Linked DNA regions of Schizosaccharomyces pombe. The gene in region 3 interacts genetically with the main gene of each other region. Each region holds a gene or a part of one and is shown on either strand. Other genes may lie near its edges. The genes, in order: dni2, dni1, prm1 and fus1.

Region 1 (3,009 bases), on a different chromosome or scaffold from region 3:
GTAAAAAATTAAAAAATGGAAAGGAAAATCAATGGGTTTGGGGTTTTCATGCATCAAATTTTTTTTTAAGGGATGAGACAAATGAAACTAATGTTTTCTTTATTGATTGTGGAGGTAGTCATCGTCCATGGGCTTTTTCAATGGAGATGGACATTCAAAGTTTTGCATCTTATAGAGCAAATCAACTTTATATTTATAGCACTGCTTTAAATCTTTTGCAAAGAAATTCTGTATTACAAAATGGTTTGCATGGGCGTGAGATTCGAGCAATGGATTTCAATCCTTCAGGGGATCTTTTATTATCAGGATCTGAAGATACTAAAGTAACCCTGCTTGAGTTTCAGAGTAATGGAAACATAATTCCTCTGAATTCTGTCAAGTTTCATAATTCAGGAATCCAATCGCTGACCTGGTTTAGCGATGATATTTTATTTTCCACTGGTGGTCTTGAAGAGTTAAATGTTTATAGGCTAATACAAAAGCCAGAGGCATATCTGAAACGGATCGTTCATGAAAAACTCTGCAAACCAAATAAAAGTAACAAGACTTACGATGGGGATCTTCGAATAACTGACATTTCTGTTGTAAAGGCAACCCATCTGGGTGAAAGAGTGTTATGGATTAATACTGTACAGTCCGATTCGACTATCAAAGCATTCACTTATAACGTAGATACGAAGCAGCTAAATTGTATAAAAAGTTGGAAATATAAGACAGTTTGTTTGGTTTTTGCCGAGGCTGTTATTTTCGGGTCTCATTTATTGTTGGTGGTTGCTTCGACTGATGGTAATGTTGCTATTTGGAACACATTTTGGAGGGATCCTCAAATTGAGCCATTAATAATTTGGATAAAAACAGTGCATCAATTTTGTGTTAAGTCATTAAATATTAGCAGGGATCAAGATGTGTTAACGATTTCTACGGGTGGTGATGATGGTGCAATTTCTCGATCTATACTTTTGTTAGAACAAATAAGTGAAAATTCAGTAGTAGTCAATTCTTTACATAACTACTTTTTTGCTGAAGCTCATGCTTCCAGTGTTACAGGTGTTTTATCAATTACCAAAGAGCTTTTGCTGAGTGTATCCATTGACCAAAGGATATTACTATGGAAAGTCGAGGGTGATTCATTGAAACCGATCCTGGAAAGATATACTCACGTAGCTGATGTGGGTGGCATGATCCGAAATAATGATTTTTTGATAATTTACGGAATTGGTTGCGAAGTTTTTAGACTGGGTTCTTTACGATGATTATTTGCTCAATAATGTCTACTACTCGCCTATTCATTCAGTTTACTCTTATACACTTCAAGGGACCTATCTTTTCATTTATCATGACGATGGTTTAAAAATAATAAATAATTGATTTGATTGAAAGGCGGCACAGCATTTATCGGTATTAAGTATGTGTAGTACTCATAATTTCTTTGTCCTCGAAGACAAAGAAACATAACAGTTACGTGTCAAAAATTTCTTTGTTTCAAAGTATTATAATAGACTTACATTCCATAATAGTTCTTCTATCCCTAAACTAATTTTGCTAAAGTAAACAATTTAAAATTACGGTTTAAGAATGGAAAGAGGAACTAGTAAATTCAGCTGGATTGGACTTGTTGCAAGAATATACAACTATATTCCTCATCCTAGTATTTTTTCGAATGCTATTTTAGGAATTGCATGGCTTTTTTTAATATTTTTATGTTGCAGCTGCTTAACGAAATCATCTATTTTTGCGAGATTACTAAGAGTAAAGAATGAAACAACCACCGTAGACGTCGGTTTCTTTGGAGTGTGTGATCAAGCTATTAATTCAACGTCTCGAGTTTGCCATGAGCTTCGAAATTGGGATCAAACAACTGGTGGTTTAGCATATGAAACTTCGAGATTTGCGTGGCTTCAAGTTCATCCTGTTCTCCTCGCGATTGTTGTTGTATTTTCAACACTATCCATTGTTTTGACTATTTTAAAGTACTTGGCTCCTGCATACATACGCCAATGGTCAATAAGTTGTTTAACTACTAGTACAGCCGCCTGTTTGCTTTTAGCACTCCAAATGGCTTTAGCTCATATTTCGGCTAATTCATATGCTGTAGGAATGAATTTAACTGGGAAAGCTACAGCAAAATTTGGGGTAGCTGCAGCAGTTTTTGGGTGGATTTCCAGTGGATTCTTTTTGCTATTTTCGCTAATACATTTGGGACTTTGGACTATTGAACGAAACAAGCAAAAGTTATTTGAAGAAACATCTCTCTCATTTAGCTTGTAATTATTACGAAAAGAATGTTGGACGACATTGAAATGACTACTATTAAGTAAAATCGCACTTATGATACTCTTTAAACGTATATGACAGATACCCTTTTGACTTTTTTAAAACTATAACTAAATTTCATTTAATTAACACATAAAACAGCATTACTACTAAATTAAGATTAATTGAAACACAATACTTCATTTGCAAAGACTATTAAACAAACATAAATAAGATTTTGTAAACCATATTACTAATTTGAGCAAAAATGTATTGAGAATTAGCTTTTAATGAATCATAAACCATTAAATATAAATTAACTAATGTTGAAAACAGACAATCTAAAATTGCAAATGTTACGAACCAAACGATCAGATGTATATGCCTAAGATTGGTAATCTAATTATAATATATTGAAAGTGGGAGACTTAAATAAAAAAAAGAGAAAAGAAAAGAAAAGTAGCATAACTTAATAAAGGATATTTTTGAAAAGGGATGGAAAATACTCAACTTTACTTGCGTTTTGTTGGACCAGTCATAGGAGAAGCACGACCAGCAGTCAAATCATCATCGGAATATTTCAACGACGATACATAAGGTCGTTTGTATCGAATGTCATATGTACATTCTTTTCTGATATTTGTACGAAGAATCCATCGCTCGGAAGGTGCTAATGTCTTCCACTGCTGAGCTCCAATATCTCCAATCTCCGATTTTACAATACCAGTTGACATGGACACGTATAATATAGTGCCA
Region 2 (3,184 bases), 740 kb from region 3:
TATATCTTTCGGGTTCAATAACCATCAAATGACAATCGAAAAAGGCCTCCTCCTTGGTGTAATGGTTACGCATAGCTTTCACAACAATGGGTCCGATGGTCAGGTTAGGAACAAACTGTGCGTCCATAACATCTACGTGTAACCAATCGCTACCATATTTAAGCATACGGCCAACCTCTTTTTCAAGATTGGCAAAGTCGCCTAACGTGTGTTAATACTTGAATCAAACACTCAAAATATTCGTACCTGCTAACAAAGACGGAGCAATTTTTGCCTGTACCATTTTTGAGTCCTAAATACAAAATTTTTTGAGTCCTTGAGGAAGAGTATTTGGTATATAGTAAAGTGAGGTTTCGGTGGAGCTGATGTAAAGTTAATTTTATCAGTACTATCAAGTGACCGCTAAATACTCCTCATTATAAGTGTATTTGAAGGTTAAATGTGATATGTTTATGAAAAATAGAAAAGTTTATATGTCGGTAAGCAGCATGAAACAGTCGTACTGTACAAATCGGTCAATAGGTGAAATGCCTAATAAAAAATAAGACTTATAATATTTATGATTTTAAGCTTCTGAAATTTTAATTAGATTGTCTTTCATAGTAAATAGGTCTCAATAGTTGAACTCGGCTTACCATACTAATTCTGACCAAAAAGTATGATGCTTATTTTTTATATGCAACGCTTCACAGCTTAGTAAGAAAAAGTATATCACAAGTCATCCTACAACCTAATTTAGAAGTCAAATTGGTTAGGATTGGGGTGGGGAGTTTATTTCTGATCCATACTATTTACTACATCTGCAAAGTATTCACAATGACAATAAAAAAAATTATTTCGAAAAATGATCCTTTGATAAGCATCCTAAGCTCTCCTTTAAGACAAGACTTGGCAACGCACTTTTTATTTCCCAGAGGTAATCTTCTTTTTTAGTTAGTTTTAATGTTCGGCTTACTGACAATATAGAGCTATTAGCGAAGTTTCCTGCAAGGAAGGATACAAATCCTCGAAAATTTTGTTTGTTGCCATTAGAAGGAAAAAACCATTTACATAATAAACATGTTTCTTTATACTGCTTATTATCGGATAGATACTTGCAACCGCCGTCAAAGCGCATTTTCAAGCGCTGGAACATGGAATTAAATAATTTGAATTGTCCTGATATAAAAAGATACATACTTGAGTCATTACAGGACTCTTTGTTAAAAGAAATATCCTCATTAAAAGAAACTTCAACTCAGAATCATTTACATTGTAATGATATTAAAATTTTACAAGATTGTCTAAGGAGACCTAACATTTCGAATGGTGGCATATGGGTGCAATGGAATTTAGAAGAAATTAATCAATTGAAAAAGTTTCTCTCTTTTAGAAAACTCTATCCTCGTCAATCGTTTATATCGTTGTTACAAATACTGCCCGAGCCCTTTTTAAAATCGCAATTGAGTCATACGCTACCAGTGGGATCTAAATATTTTTTTGTTCCTTGCGACAAGAAACATCATACCTTGGGGCTTTTGCTATGGAAACTTTTTTTTCTCAAAGATATGCCCGCTGCGTATTCCTCATAGAGTCGAATGACCATTGACGAACTCTTTGTTCTCGGGAACAAAGAAAACACGAAGACAATGAAAAAAGCAGATTTTTGAAAGAAAGCTTAGAAATATATTATGTCATTAATAATTTTTTTGTTTACTTTAAAACCTGGCTTGGATCTTCCTTGTTCGTCTTTTCAAGCTACTTCCCTTCATAGCATCGCAAAAAGCCATTTGAGATAATTCTGTTGTGATTAAATCTCCTTAATTTTACTTCAGGATTTGCCTATATTTTTGCTTACTGAAGGCTTTCACGAACGTCAAATAATTTACCTTTTTTTAAAAAACATTCAACCTATTCATTCAAAAAAACCAGTTGACGAAAAGAGTTTTTGTATCAAGGACAAACAAACATCTACATTTAATCACCATGCTGTTTCTTCATTCAGTTGTACAAGGAACTGGAACTCTTTGCACATTAGCTGCATGGATTTTACTTGCACTAGTAATGACAGGTTGCCAATCTAGTACCACCTCGAAATTCCAGTTGTTTTCTCTTGCAACTAACGTAGCCCAAATTAACGTTGGGTATTTTAACATGTGTGTACTTTCTGCTAATGCGACGCTGATCTGCAAACCTCAATTTACTGGTTGTCCTGGGTTGACTTCCATTAGCTTAACGGATGTAAGGTCTAAATTTCTAATCAATGAAGTTCACCCTTGGATGATTGTCTTTTCATTTTGCGTATGCGGTGTTTCATTTCTTATGGGTGTTGTTTCCAGCCTTCCCTTAATAGGGCGTTTGGAATTCCTGAGAAACATTCGTATAAGCCTTTCTTTTTTCTCCTTTTTTAGTATACTAGTAACTGCTTTGTTTGCTCACGTTGCTGTCTCCTCTTTTGTGATGGCTGTTGGAAATGGAACACAAAATCGAGTTACTGCATCTCTAGGCAAAAAGGCTATGATCTTTTTATGGTGTTCTATGGGACTTGTGACATTAACAGGTATCACGGATTCTATTATTCTTTTGGTTACTTCAAGAACCAAGAAGATTCGTAAGACGATACTGGAAAAAAGCAAAGTCCTTACCCCTAGTTCATCCTTTTCTAGCAAATCCTCAACAACAAAGTATTAAATTATGCGCCTCAACTATTATTGTTTTGAGAAGATATGACCTTTCTCACCTTGTTATATTACATTATGGCAACTGTATTCATCTGTACTTGTTTTTTGTTTTTACGTTTTTTCACGTTCCGCTTTTTTTATGATTTTCTTAACGCCTCTTTTTACGATTAATCTCATCTTGGTTTATTTATGTATATGTTTTCACACTGCACTTTACTTCATTTCTCTTTTGCACTCATTTCTACTTACCGCACTTGAAACTTTCATGTCAAAAGCTCATATATTCAAGTCAAGATAAAGCTGTTTAATATTTCATTATCAATGACTAATATCGATTAAAACAATCATATACATTCTCTTTCCATAGTCTTTTTATTTAGAACCTATATACATACGCATCTTTACAAATTATACATTCTTCAATTGATTTTTTGCATAAATCTGATCAACTGTATACTTCTGTAACAGTTTTTTCGTATCTTACAATCGTAGCTGATAGAAAGAAATTAAAAGAGATATTAAAT
Region 3 (7,772 bases):
TTTCAGCTTCCAAAGATGTTACAGGTCCTATCGGTGCTCTGGACCTAATGACACCTACCCAAATGAATGTTCTTCCAGATCCAACTGTTGATCTTGATTGGAGTGGTTATCGTGGAGCCATTCAAGATATTTTCGCATCCAACGCTGCTAAATTCCCTGATAGAGAATGCATAGTAGTCACTCCTTCGGTCACAATTGATGCTCCTGTCACTAGTTACACGTATCGACAAATCGACGAGTCTTCTAACATCCTGGCTCACCATCTCGTAAAGAATGGAATTGAGAGGGGTGATGTAGTTATGGTTTATGCTTATCGAGGTGTGGATTTAGTTGTCGCGGTCATGGGTGTACTTAAAGCTGGTGCCACATTCTCAGTTATCGATCCAGCATATCCACCTGCTCGTCAGATTATATATCTGAGCGTTGCTAAGCCCAGAGCCTTAGTTGTTTTGGAAGATGCAGGTGTTTTGTCTCCCACAGTCGTAGAGTATGTTGAGAAAAGCCTTGAACTAAAAACTTATGTACCAGCTTTAAAACTTGCTAAAGATGGTTCTTTAACGGGAGGATCAGTCTCAAAAGGAGCTGACGATATCTTGCAACACGTTTTACACTTGAAGTCCGAACAAACTGGCGTTGTTGTAGGCCCTGATAGTACTCCCACACTTAGTTTTACTAGCGGAAGTGAAGGAATTCCTAAAGGTGTAAAAGGTAGACATTTCAGTCTTGCTTACTATTTTGATTGGATGGCTCAGGAATTTAATTTATCTGAATCAGACCGGTTTACGATGTTAAGTGGAATTGCTCATGATCCTATTCAAAGAGATATTTTCACACCACTTTTCCTTGGCGCATCCTTAATCGTACCCACTGCTGAAGACATTGGCACCCCTGGTCAATTAGCCCAATGGGCTAACAAGTATAAGGTTACTGTAACTCATCTCACCCCAGCTATGGGTCAACTGTTAGCTGCTCAGGCTGATGAGCCAATTCCTTCATTACACCATGCATTTTTTGTAGGTGATATTTTGACGAAACGTGATTGTCTTCGCTTACAAGTCCTTGCTAACAACGTTAACGTTGTTAACATGTATGGAACGACAGAGACTCAGCGTTCAGTTTCGTACTTTGTAGTACCTGCGCGGTCTCAAGATCAAACATTTTTGGAATCGCAAAAAGATGTCATTCCAGCCGGACGTGGCATGAAGAATGTCCAACTTTTGGTGATCAATCGTTTTGATACTAACAAGATATGCGGTATCGGAGAAGTTGGTGAAATATATCTTCGTGCTGGTGGATTGGCTGAGGGCTACCTTGGAAATGATGAATTGACTAGCAAAAAATTCTTAAAGAGTTGGTTTGCTGATCCCTCCAAGTTTGTAGACCGAACTCCAGAAAATGCGCCCTGGAAACCTTATTGGTTCGGAATACGCGATCGTATGTATCGTTCTGGTGACTTGGGCCGCTATCTCCCAACTGGTAATGTAGAATGTAGCGGTCGTGCCGACGATCAAATTAAAATTCGTGGTTTCCGAATTGAGTTAGGTGAAATTAATACCCATCTTTCTCGTCATCCTAATGTCCGTGAAAATATTACCCTTGTTCGACGTGATAAGGATGAAGAACCCACGCTAGTTGCATACATTGTACCTCAAGGTTTAAATAAAGATGACTTTGATAGCGCTACTGAGTCGGAAGATATTGTCGTCAATGGTTTGAAGAAGTACAGGAAGCTTATACATGATATACGGGAATATCTTAAGACTAAACTTCCTAGTTATGCTATTCCTTCTGTAATTGTTCCCCTTCATAAAATGCCTCTCAATCCTAATGGAAAGATAGATAAACCTGCTCTGCCTTTCCCAGACACATCACAACTTGCTGCCGCATCTCGTTCACATTCTAAACATGGAGTTGATGAAACTCTTACAGCCACTGAAAGGGATATACGTGATATCTGGTTGCGTATCATTCCACACGCTACTGATGTCAACAAAAAAGCAAGTTTCTTTGATATTGGAGGACATTCTATTTTAGCTACTCGCTTAATTTTTGAACTTCGCAAAAAATTTGCTGTGAATGTACCTTTAGGTTTAGTTTTCAGTGAACCTACTATTGAAGGTTTGGCCAAAGAGATTGAAAGAATGAAATCGGGTGAGATGATTAGCGTGATGGATATAGGCAAAGAAGAGACTAGAGAACCTGAAATTGAATATGGTAAAGATGCACTTGATTTAGTAGATTTAATTCCTAAAGAATTTCCAACCTCTAAAGACTTGGGTATTGATGAGCCAAAAACCGTTTTCTTAACTGGTGCTAACGGCTACCTTGGTGTCTTTATATTAAGAGACCTTATGACCAGAAGCTCTAACTTGAAAGTCATTGCCTTAGTCCGCGCCTCATCGGAAGAACATGGTCTAAAACGTCTTAAAGACAGTTGTACCGCGTATGGTGTATGGGATGAATCATGGGCCCAAAAAATTTCTGTTGTCAATGGTGATCTTGCTCTCGAAAACTGGGGTATAGAAGAAAGGAAATGGAACAAGCTTACTGAAGTCGTCGATTATGTTATTCATAATGGTGCCCTTGTACATTGGGTTTATCCATATTCTAAACTCAGAGGTCCTAATGTTATGGGTACAATTACTGCATTAAAACTTTGCTCTTTAGGAAAAGGTAAATCCTTGAGTTTTGTTTCATCCACATCAACTGTTGATACTGAGTATTACGTTAACCTTTCGAACGAAATTACTTCAAAGGGAGGAAATGGAATCCCAGAATCCGATCCTTTGCAAGGTTCTTCGAAAGATTTGCATACCGGTTACGGACAAAGCAAATGGGTATCTGAATATTTAGTAAGGCAAGCGGGATTACGTGGCCTTCGTGGTGTTGTTGTGCGTCCTGGATACATTTTAGGCGACTCCAAGTCTGGTGCTATTAATACCGACGACTTTTTGGTTCGAATGGTCAAAGGGTGCATTGAATTGGGTCTGTACCCGAACATCAATAATACTGTAAATATGGTTCCTGCCGATCACGTTGCTCGCGTGGTAACTGCCAGTGCTTTCCATCCCGAACAAGGAGTAATTGTTGCTCACGTAACTAGTCATCCCCGACTTCGTTTCAACCAATTCCTAGGAACTCTTTCCACTTTTGGCTTCAATACCAAGCTTTCCGAATACGTCAATTGGCGTATTGCTTTGGAGCGCTTTGTCATTAATGAGTCTCATGATAGTGCTTTGTATCCCTTACTTCACTTTGTGTTAGATAATCTTCCTGCTAATACAAAAGCTCCTGAATTAGATGATACAAACACACGTGAAATCTTGAAACGTGATGCATCTTGGACTAACGTGGATGTTTCTAATGGAGCTGCAATTTTGGAACATGAGATGGGCTTATATTTGTCATATCTGGTAGCTATTGGATTTTTGCCAAAACCTACTTTAGAAGGTAAAAAGCTTCCTGAAGTCAAAATAAATGAAGCTACTTTGGAGAAGCTTGCATCGGCTGGTGGTCGTGGAGGCGCTCCAACTCATTAGATTTATTAAGCAGTTAAATTATCCAAAATGAAAAATTTAGAATCTATGTAGACTTCTAATATCTATCCTGTTTTTCTTTCAATAAATATGTTGTCTCTTCACTTTCTGTTGTGATTGAGTTAAATTGTATATCTGAAATAATTGCCGGTGAGATGGGAATGTCAATAGCAAGGTCACTAGATAGGCTTATTAAACCCAAGGACCTTTTATAGTCTATGCAGTCATCTTCTTCATATTGAAAATTTTGGAAATCATAAACGTGCGATTCTCGGGGAGGAATAGGAGGAGGCCTACACGACTTCGTAACAGGAAAAGCTAACGATTGTACTGGTAAAGTAATGTTCTCCTTTGGATTTGGAATAACTAAATCTAGAAGGCTAAGGAATAATGATTTGAGCCAAGATGATAAAACACCAATTAAGCCGAATGCACAAATCAATAACCAAAGCAAAAAAAATAGGAAAGAAAAATTTAGCTCACTTATTACTGACTTTTCAACTCTATCAAAGATACCAGAGAAACTCACTGTGCTGTTTGATGAATTTAGTGAAGAATATAAAGAAGAATAGATAGTTTGGTTATCTATAGATTTGCTTAAAATATCAGTAGGTAAAAGAGGTAATTCAATATGGGATTTGTTATAAACCCAAGTCAAAACTATTGGTTAGATTAAATTTGAAAGACTAGTATAACAAACCTTCTTCAAAATTCTCAATTTTTCTGTAAAGCAAGCAATTCATAACATTTTGTACGGTACTTGCAAGAAAGGTGTCTCCAAACGCACTTGTCATTGACGAATTCAGTTCATTCATAAACGTATTCAGCGTAGAGTTCAAAGAAAGTGTAGTATTATGAATGGAACCAAACATATTGTTATTGATGTTTTCTTGATTTTTTAAAATAATTTGGTTAGTTGAATTAGCCCATGCTACTGAAACATTTGCTAAAGCAGATTCAACTTTATGAAATGAATTTTGCGCTAGAGCACTGATTACTGAACCATCTTCACGAATATTGTTGAGAAGTACCAGCTGTAGAATGCCAGAAATAAAGGAAGTGCAACTAATAAAAAGAATCATTGCGGCAGGGGGATGAAATATATATGTGATGAACCATCGAAGTTGCACACTTAAAAAACAAGGTAAAGGAAGAGCTGAAATAAAATATTTTAAGTTCCAGGAAATAGGAGACTCTATATAGGAAATTAGGTCACGGGTATCTTCAAATTTATTACTTCTTATGTGTTCGTCCAGAAGAAATGCTTTGTGTCTAATTCTACACCATTTCCAAATTTCATAAATCGAAGAAATCAAAAACAATCCCGCAATTATAATTAGCAAAGAAATGATGACAACTTTCCTGATCTTATATATAGAACTTAGAATAAATGATGAAATAGCCGTCAGATCATCAGTCGAACAAACCACTACATGTGTTTTATTTGGAGAAGAGACCATACTAGTGTCAAACGAATAGTTGCTAACTTTTTCAAGGATAAGATTCCGAGCAGAAGAAAACGGTTTGCTAATGGCCGCTTTTGTTGCATTAATGGCACTATCAAAATTAACACCAGCCTTTAACTTCTCAAATTCTGTATCATATGAAGAAGATAAAGTGAAGTTTCGGAGAGACTGGATTTCAGGAATAGAGACATTTGGCAGGTTGATGTCTTCCCCTAGCCAAGAGGCAACTTTCTCCAGCGAATCTTCTGCACTTTGGAAAACTTCGTTTAAAGAAGAGACTGTATCTTCAATTTCATCTGCAATCGCATGCAATGTATCATTTACCGCAGTTCCTATCTCTTCACCGACATCAGCAACTGCATCCAAGATGCCATCGATTGCCAGCTGAATAAGACAAAGATAGGTACCATAGCTAAACTCGATAAAGAAAATAAACACATTTTCAGCAGCAATGAGACTGTCTGATATTCCAGAAAGAATGATCTTAACTGTACTTTGAATGCCATCTTTCGCAACCCTAACAGCCGCATTAGCAATTAAGGATGGGCTATCAAGGAGAATGTCGACTTTTTCTTGTATGTAGTTACAAGTAGCTTGTTCATCATTGACAAAATCTCCTATTTTTGTGTTCAAATCCTTGGTAAATAAGAAAAACTGCATGAGAATATAGAGACAGCATAATGACCAGGGTGATATCCAACACTGTGAAAGCCTCGCTGCCAAACTAAGATATGAAGACGCCATTACAGGCTGTTCGATCTCTGCCTTGTAATAAATGTGTTAGACGGTTTTGCATTTCTTTGTTTAGACATTTTCGAAAGAACAAAGAAACTCAGAATTAAACAAAGAATTACCATAAAAGAAGTGGAAACTGTAAATGGCTTAGAAACAGCATTAAATGAAACATAAAATAAAAACAACAATCATGTTGAACTGTTAATAATAGTATTTAGAAAAATCAGATATATATGCGAATCCTGTAATAGTTGAATAACAGACAATTAAAGTAGTTGTCAATGCATTACAAGGGGCATCGATAATATCTATATTCATACAGCTTTGCATTTAAACAAACATAAACTAGGAATTTCTAGATTTCAAAAAATCGATCCCGCCAGGAGTCGAACCTGGAATCTCTTGATCCGTAGTCAAGCGCCTTAACCATTGGGCCACGAGACCTGCTATTATATTGCAGTCTTCGATAATAAATTTATATTTTATCTTTTTAATTAAGCAAATAAGTATAATTTTGCTTTTTTTTTATTTTTATGTTTTATTTAGTAAATTGTTTTAATATTATGTACCAAAATTTGATTGATTCTTAAATATTATAAACTTTTCAACATTATTTAATGTTAAAAATGTTACTGCATATACATGTTATAGCAGTTATAGCAGTCAATAATAAAATATAACTGTACTTATTTTATAAGCTAACTAGCAATTTATTCTGATAGAACAGAATCTGAAACATTCTTTTAATTGAATGGAGTTCGATTATTTTTAAGAAATTGCCTGCATGCTCTATGGATTGTAATAAAATGGAAACAACCATACACAAGTTCACAGATCAATGAAAAAAAAAATAATAATAAACTGAGCATGGCCAGAAGATATAAAAAAAAAGCTATAACAATGGCTACCACTTGTTAAATGAGTAATTGATATTTTTTATCATTTTATTTTCTGAAAACTTATATTTATGGCAGAGAAAGGCTATGATACAATTCGAAGACTACAGCTAAAGAGTAAAATAAGAGGATAAAAAAATTTCATAAATATCATATATGAGTGCTTTATAACTCATCCGAAAAGTGAATTTTCACCTTAAAACCTCCTATATTATATGGAGAAATCGAAAAAGGAGATATCTGAAATATTACGAGCGATACATTGCTGCACTAAAATTCGTTATAAACAATAGTGTATGCGCATTACATTGGTCTATCTTTAAAAGGCTACATTTTTTTTCGCAAGGATTTAGCAACTTCACCATACTAGTACTTTGTGCCATTTAGGGGTTACCAGTGGTCATTGCCAGTTGCCATAAAGATTCCAACTTCATTAGATTAAAAGAGACTTAATTTTAATTACTCATCATGAGTTCCACTGAAGTGCCCGGGGAAGTCTCTACTTCTGTAAGTTTGCTTGTTAGCATCATTACTGATCTGAATATCAAAGGTTTCTTCATATTTTGATACCATTTTAATTCTTGACTTTGGGTACGTTTTAAAAATTATATTAAAATGAATTTGATTGTGATTGAAGGAGTTTCGCGCTTGTGATATATTAGTTGTGAATTTTTTATCTCTTCTCTGATCAATTCTTCAATGAGCCTATTTTTTATCTCATAAAAAATAAAAATGGCTCTAGTAGTGGTCTTTTCGACTTCCTGATTCGTTTGTACTAACCATAATTGTAGCTCTCAGTATAGTCATTTGATTGCCAGACGTCTTCGTGAGATTCACGTGTATGCAGAGTTACTTCCTTGCACTCAAAAAATAGAAGCTCTCCCATTTAAGCCTATTGGTGTTATTTTGTCTGGCGGCCCCTATTCTGTTTACGATGACATTGCACCTCATGTGGATCCTGCTGTCTTTGAACTTGGTGTTCCTGTACTCGGTATTTGTTATGGCATGCAAGAAATTGCATGGTTGAATGGACGTTGTGTTGAACCAGGTATCGAGAGAGAGTACGGTCCAGCTACAGTTAGTATGGAACCTGAAATCAAAACCGAGGTCTTCAAAAGCTTTTTTAACTCCATGCCAAA
Region 4 (7,227 bases), 1.1 Mb from region 3:
GATATAGATCTTCGTTGGCGAATGCATGCAGTGTCCGATGGTGAAAGACGACGTGTTCAACTATGTATGGGACTTCTGCGTCCATTTGAAGTACTTTTACTTGATGAAGTAACTGTAGATTTGGATGTTCTTGCCCGGGCAGATTTGTTAAATTTTTTGCAAGAGGAAACGGAAGTAAGGAATGCTACTATTGTTTATGCAACACATATATTTGATGGTTTAGCTGAGTGGCCAACTCACTTGGTCCATCTCAGTCTTGGGCGTATCGTGGATTATGGACCAATATCCAAGTTTGGTGCTCTGATGACAAGGTCCTCTACGGGAAATAGCGCCCTTCTAGAGACATGTTTGGAATGGCTCAAAGAAGACAAAAAAAATAGGGGAACTCGAGAAGAGGAAAAGCGTAGTACCTGGGACGACGTTCAAGAATCATTAAAAGTTGGAACTGATGTATTTACTGATTACTTTAAGATTTCCCGAGCAAAATAGATTACTAGAAAAGTTATCCTTTAGATGCTTAATTCTATCTTTAACAAGCATTACAGTCTTACTAGAATTAATAATTATACCTTTTATTAATTATAATTTCATTATAATTTGTTTAAGTCATTTAATTGTCATTAAAAGTCATTAACATTTCAAACATCATTATCTCTTAAGTTCATTGTTATTCTCCAGCTGCTTAAGCATGCATTCAGCTTTAAGGACGACTGTTTGTCTCTTTTTATTTGAGCCTTCTAGAGTTTGTTTATCATTTTCATAATTCATTAGAGTTTCGATTGTTTGTTTCGATGATTCAGTGCAATCGGTTTTGTTGCTTAAAGAATCATCACACAAACCTTTCTGTAGCTGAGATATTAAATTTTCCATTGTTGCTGAAACTTCCTCATTCTTTGAAGAACCACTATTTTCTGCATTATTGCTTTTAACAGATGCTTTTAAAGCTTGTAGTCTTAGAAAAGCAAGTTCTTCTTCCTTCTCCATCTTCTGATTTACAGTGCTAGCCTTTTTGTACTCCAGTATTATTTCGTTTAAATTATTGAAAAACCTAGCACTCGATGTAGGTTCATCTGGATTTTCACCATACATTAAGAGAGTTGTTTTAAGGGTTGTTTTTAGTTCAGTAATATCAGAATTAAGTTCATCCACCATTGATTTTCCTGATGGAATCCATGGAACCATGACTTCACAGATATGGTCATCAGGATGAAGAGCTTTATGATTCGAAAAAATGCCTTCATTGCTAAAGTCCTTTTCAACATTTTTCATCCGTTCACAAATATCATTACAATCCTGCTCCAACTGCTCCAAATTAAATCTGGAAATCTCGGGAATGGCTTTCAAATCCACGAGAAAAGCTTCCAATTGTGGAAAGTGAGTCCGAACTATTTTTTCAATAGTATGAAGAAGTGTTAATCCTGTTTTGTCATTTTTAATCATGGAAGCTCTTAGTAAACTTTCCAATCGATACCCTTTAGCTCGACGGGGTGCATCATTCATAAAATTGCCAATATGAAGGACCAAATTTAAAAAATACTTGAAATGCAAACTAGATTTCAACTCTAAAGAAGCACAATGAAGTTTCCTTATTTGTCTTCTAAAATCCCTAAAGTTGTTGGCCAGAAACGATTTGATTTTTAAAGCTGCCATTCTTTTTTCGTAATAAGTATCAATGTCAACAACAATTAACGTATAAATTTGATCGAAACGAGACAATTCTAAAAGCTTTTCACTTACTTCCATTACCTCTTCGTTTCGAGATGACATATAAGGCTTTAGTTGCTTTTTAAGACCTTCTTGTCGAAAAAACTTTCGGTCATTAAAAAAATCGACTAGTTCCATGATATCATGGTCGCAATGAAAAAATTTTTTGGCAATTTCAATTGGTGTCAAGGAATTGAATCTATGCAAACGAATACTAACCATTTGCTGTAAATCAACTGGCATAAATCCGGTATATTCCTTAACTTTTTTATTGGAAACTGTTACTTCTCTCAATGGATAACAATCTTCGAGTTGCTTAAAAATCCCTTCCGCAGTAAGTTTTAAAGTTAATAAATAAGGATCTGCAACTACAATATTCCATAGAGTTTTTTCGAAAGGAACTTCGAGGCGTTTCCAATGAAGCTGCTTTAGCCGTTTAGAAGGATTGCATAGCTCACCAGGAATTTTGCTTGCATACACTTCAGACTCTGAACCTGAACAGAATTTAAATATGTCATCGATTGAAATATTTTCGGGAATAATTATCGTCTTCCGAAAAATTTGTGAATCATTTTTTTCAAATTTCTGGAGAGAAGACATTGCAGTTGGTAAAGGAGGTGCAGGAGGTGGTAATGGTGCAGGAGGTGGAGCTTTGAATGGATTCCCATCAATAACTTCTTTGATTCTCATATTTTCTATTTTAGAAAACCTCTTGGTATCAGTTATGGAAAATCGGCCATAGTACGACTTTCGATAGTCTAAGGGAAGATCACTAACAACATCAATCCTTTTTGGATTAAAAACCTTGTGTTTTGAAGTTTCCATTTTTTCTGCTAAGTTAGCACTTTTTATTTGTGTTCCTGGCATACTCAGATGAACCTCAAAAGAATGCGTTGAAACAGCGGAAGATGGCTCGGATTTTAAAGTGATTGAGTTTGCTTTAGCTAGATCTAATTTGCAAAGTTTTAATTTTTCATCCTGATTTGGTTGAAAAAGCAGTTTAGGTTTTATCCTTGGTGAAGCAAAAGCACTAACGCTAGAGGTAGTGTTCACGGGTTGAACCCAATCTCTGTTTCCATTTCCATTCACATTGTTTTTAGAAATTAAATACTCTTGGTCACGATCTTGCAGTTTACTACTTGATCGGTTCAATAATCGAAGAATTTTGGTATCTTCGGAAATGTATGAATCGCGCGTACGCGTCAGTAAGTGCTTTAGTTTACTAAAAATTTTTTCGGCTGAAAAGGAAGATTGAGGATCAAACTCTGATGGAAACAACAAACACAAACAATCAAAGATATTTTTCAGATCGGTTTCATACTTCGAACTTTCCACATACTTTCTTTCGGAATTCTCATATCCTTGATTTGTAGTGTTATTAGTATCACCAGTAGCATAAAGTTCTGATTTGGAGACGCTGTATTCATTATCATCAGTATTATCATATGATGCGACAACTTTTTTGCTATTGGTAGTACCGTAGCCAGACGTAACACTTGAGTACCCCGGAGCGTTGTTCCCTTGCTCGTTTCCAATCTTTAATTCCTTATAAAAGCAATCAATATCATTATTTGAATTACCATTCCCTTTATCAGCTTGTAAAGTAAGCACTAAACAATCAAGTAACTTTATAATACGGACGGGGTTGTTGTGCTCTTTCAAAAGTTTTAAAAAATTTTTAATATGCTCTTTAACCATAAATTCGAAATTTGCATCATTAAACATGTTTGTGTTTAAAAGGGATTGATGAGCAGCAGAATTTGGAGTGTGCTTTAAAAAATGTTTCTCATTAGCAGTGTCTAATGATACGAGTTTCACGCATTTCTCGAGTTGTTTTAATACTCCTTCATCATTTATTTTTTTTAGAATGAGTAAAATGCTTTTGAAATTCCCTATTCTCAAGGATTCCTTGAACTGGAGTAAAGCAGTTTTAGATGGGATATTTTCAAGAAATGCATTTATAAGAAGCATTTGTGAAATGATATACTCAATAGTTATTTTATCATGTAAGGCCGCTTCTTCTAGTACTTTCTTTTCTTCAGTAACAACTTTCTCTAAGAGTGTTCTTTTCCATTGAGAAAGCCATAAATCAAAGACGTTCATAGACTCGACTTTCAAATTTGCAAAGTTTTTCATACATTTCATAATTGCGTTGATTCCGTTCGGCTTTTCTGAGTAACAAAGAAAAGTAAGTAATTCGGCAGCTAGTTTCCTTACTAGTAATTTAGTTGACAGGAGGCAGTGAACAACTGAATCGATAGGATACTTATTACTCAGATAGAAATCAGTCCCAATCTTCTGTCCTATAATACACCTCATGCTTTTGAGGATTGCAATTTCTAAAGTTATGTCAGGACTTTTTAGATGTTTCTTCTCATGAATTGCCTGCAATATTTTAGCAAGTACTATGTGTCCACCCATCAAAAGAAAATATCGAACCCAGGTAACTGATTCGGTTCTCAATGCAACCGCCAAAGATTCCACGTACTTGAGCTTCAACGGTGTACAGCTTAACTTTTCAATATAGGAAATGACGGATGCCTTGACATTTAGTTCAGAATCGTTTGATGATATTTTTAAAAATTTATCGTTTCTCGATAAATAGCCAGTGATGAAAGACCATTTGTTTTCTTGAGAGAGTGTAACGTTCGCGTCCCAATGAAACTGCTCACCAGAATCAGATTTTTCTTCGCGTAATCTTTTTAAAACATCATCGAATAATTCATTCACTAAATTCGGGTCATCCGGACATAGAAGCGCTTCGCCTGGTACATATGAATCGGTAAATCCAACAGGTCTTTTTGATAAATTGTTGCAATGAATATCCGGAATAGTGTTTTTTTTGTTTTCAATACTCACAAATAGTGAAGAGTAATCATTTGTAATACGAAGGTCTGTTTTCTTTACGCTTTGGTTTTTTAATCTGCTTCGCGATAATGCTTTTGCTTCGACTTTTTCATATGGGTCAGTGTGTAAATCAATGTTTGTTAGAGACCCAAACGATGAAATTTCTTTAACAATTGGTTTAGAGATTCTGATACCTTTAAAACTAGCCGTCATCATTAACAAGCAATAGCTAAAAAAGGTGAAACCATCAATAATATGTCCTATAATTACAGAAACAAGGTTTTTTGCTCGTAAACAATCCTTTTTGAGTTCAGATATAAGAAGTAAGGTAAAAGACTTACTAGAAAATTACTGAGTATTTAGAACATAACTTTCTTTGTTCGGTTTAACCGACGTAATATGATTCAAAGCAACAATTACATATGCAACGATCCATTTTATTGTACCCGTTAAAGAACAAAGAAATACTAACTGTGTTCGAAAACTATTTAGTTTTCCGATAAGTTCAAGCTCAAACACAAACGTAATTGGAAAGCGACAACTTGAAAGTAGTCCATATCAGAATTAACTGAATAATGCTGGAAATAAGTTTAGTGTCCATTCTAGTTTATATTTATTAATAAATGTTTTTTAAAAGACATTGAGAGGGTGGCGTACATACTGTGTCTTTAGAATAAGGCGCCTAATGAAGTGCTAGTTTACTATCACGCTAAAATTAAACAATCGCTTCTGCTGTTTAATTTATAGCTTGATTGATATTTGTTTTCCATAAATGAAAGACAGTTTGATTAAAAAGGATAAACATTTTGAGTACAAGATCAAGATCAAGAAAACTTAAAAAAATCAATCAGACTGTTGAACTGAAAACTAGCAACGAAAAAATGTACAAGATGAACTTTCAATTTAATATATTAAAATAAGAAAAATCTTTAATGCAGACTACTCTTTCGCACCTAAAAGCTCCAAAAACCATTCCAAGAGCATGGAAGATAACTCACTATAAACAAATCATAACAGTGGATAAACATAAAACGTAGGAAATATAAACATAAAATAACATAAACAACTAAATCTTGTCAAAAGCGAATTGTAAAAACAATTGAAGCAGTCCAAAGTAGTTCGTAACTAATACTAACAGTCGTAATTGGGGTTTAAAACTCGAAGTATGTTTAGTTCTGCTTTCAAATTGTTATTTCGTTTCTCAGCATCTTCCAATAAAGCTTGATATACATGAAGCTCATTGACTACCAAATCATGAAATAGATTGCTAGTCAAAAGTTGAGCAGCAGTTGGGCGCTTATTCGAAGAGCTGAGCATTGACCGGATTAAGCTAGCTTCCTCTGGCATGGAATCCAAGAAATCATGGGGGAAAATGCCCTTTTTTAAATTGGCGATAGCTGATGCCCTTTCCATGCGCGTGTTAAAAGGATACAGTAATTCAAAAAAGAGTATGCCCAATGCATATATGTCAGTAGACGAGTTGTTATTCATTACCGATCGCATGTGTTTTGAGAAAAGTTCAGGAGCTGCATACGTACTTGTACCGACAAAAGAAGATTCAGCTGAGGAGTTGGTCCCCTCTTCCAAATTATCTGACTGAGAAAGAACAAGACCGAAATCGCCTATCTTGGGCACAACACATAAAGTTCTTTGGTTCACTGGTTCGTACGCATTGCTAACCTCAACATTATCTTCATCAGAAAAATTAGGTAGACACACAGAGCAAGGCTCAGAATGTACACCACTAGATAGAAAAATATTTCGAGGTTTCAAATCACGATGGACTAAATGCATAGCATCGTGAAGATACAAAACGCCCTCTAAAATCCTTGCAAACAGTAAAATATAACAGTTACGTAGGCCTTTAGACATTACACCGTGAATATGCTTATTTCGTCTGTTTATGTGTTTCTCGAGTGTTTCTTCGCAAAGAGCCATTTGTATGTACAAACATAAGGGCTGTTGATCAAAGCTGGGAATATTGGAACATTCATCTTCCTCTCTTTCGGATAGAAATGAATCCATAAGTAACATTTCAGAAGCTGACTTCGTTGGCGCCAACTTTCCTAATGTGTCGACTTGTGATGTTGTTGAAGAACAATCATGTGACTCGGCATAATCCTGATCGGCCTCTTTCTTGAAAAGATCAGTCAAGTTGCAAGTCGAATTTTTGGTAGAGTAACAAGGAGTTAAATCATCTGCAACCGAGTCCTCTTGGAATAGTATCTGAACTGATGAAGGATAAGTATGCTGAAGTAACCCAGTATCCATATCAAACATAAAATTATCTATATCTGCTGATTGAGATAATGTCTCATCTGCCGAAGCTAAAGGTTCTTCTTCGATTTGCTTTTCAGATGACGGTAAGAGCTCGACCCAACTAGAAAAGAATCTTATCACATTGGGATGGTTTAATCTTGCCAAGGTCCTAGATTCACGGAATATGTTAGAAGAAGTGGAGAAAGAACGTAACCGAAGTGGAATTTTTTTTAAAGCATATTCAACTCCATCGAATTTATTTCGAGCTTTATACACTGAACCATAACCGCCTTTACCAAGTAACTCAAGTTCTTCAAAATCACTTGCATATCTTGACCTTTGGACTGTGGGAAAGCTATCAAAGTTGCTAAAAGACAAGTTACCGGTTCCATCTTTGTGCTCACAAAAATCAGCAAA

Evidence for each region.
Region 1: of prm1 (region 3) and dni2, changing one enhances a phenotype caused by changing the other (phenotypic enhancement), as found in Schizosaccharomyces pombe (one study listed by BioGRID).
Region 2: of prm1 (region 3) and dni1, changing one enhances a phenotype caused by changing the other (phenotypic enhancement), as found in Schizosaccharomyces pombe (one study listed by BioGRID).
Region 4: of prm1 (region 3) and fus1, changing one enhances a phenotype caused by changing the other (phenotypic enhancement), as found in Schizosaccharomyces pombe (one study listed by BioGRID).

The regions. Positions count from the first base shown.
Region 1 is NC_003423.3:1,182,852-1,185,860, forward strand, and holds dni2 (claudin-like protein Dni2), read left to right. Parts: upstream 1-1,575; coding exon 1,576-2,264; intron 2,265-2,415; coding exon 2,416-2,473; downstream 2,474-3,009. Other genes in the region: protein Trm734, read left to right, coding at 1-1,253; SPOM_SPBC4.02C (rRNA methyltransferase), read right to left, coding at 2,766-3,009.
Region 2 is NC_003424.3:2,995,488-2,998,671, forward strand, and holds dni1 (tetraspan protein, claudin Dni1), read left to right. Parts: upstream 1-1,965; coding exon 1,966-2,670; downstream 2,671-3,184. Other genes in the region: rpe1 (ribulose phosphate 3-epimerase), read right to left, coding at 1-201, 247-283; rrg8 (protein Rgg8), read left to right, coding at 817-916, 967-1,571. UniProt on the Schizosaccharomyces pombe protein: Cell membrane protein which plays a relevant role in coordinating membrane organization and cell wall remodeling during mating.
Region 3 is NC_003424.3:3,734,929-3,742,700, reverse strand, and holds the start of prm1 (conjugation protein Prm1), read right to left. Parts: upstream 6,018-7,772; 5' UTR 5,747-6,017; coding exon 4,237-5,746; intron 4,197-4,236; coding exon 3,595-4,196; 3' UTR 3,540-3,594; coding exon of another isoform or gene 1-3,539. Other genes in the region: lys1 (aminoadipate-semialdehyde dehydrogenase), read left to right, coding at 1-3,539; GMP synthase Gua2, read left to right, coding at 7,102-7,140, 7,184-7,224, 7,425-7,772. UniProt on the Schizosaccharomyces pombe protein: Involved in cell fusion during mating by stabilizing the plasma membrane fusion event.
Region 4 is NC_003424.3:4,812,577-4,819,803, forward strand, and holds fus1 (formin Fus1), read right to left. Parts: upstream 5,211-7,227; 5' UTR 4,768-5,210; coding exon 649-4,767; 3' UTR 535-648; downstream 1-534. Other genes in the region: CCR4-Not complex subunit Caf16, read left to right, coding at 1-489; eIF2 alpha kinase Hri1, read right to left, coding at 5,683-7,227. UniProt on the Schizosaccharomyces pombe protein: Required for cell fusion. It associates with the pre-zygotic projection tips in conjugating cells.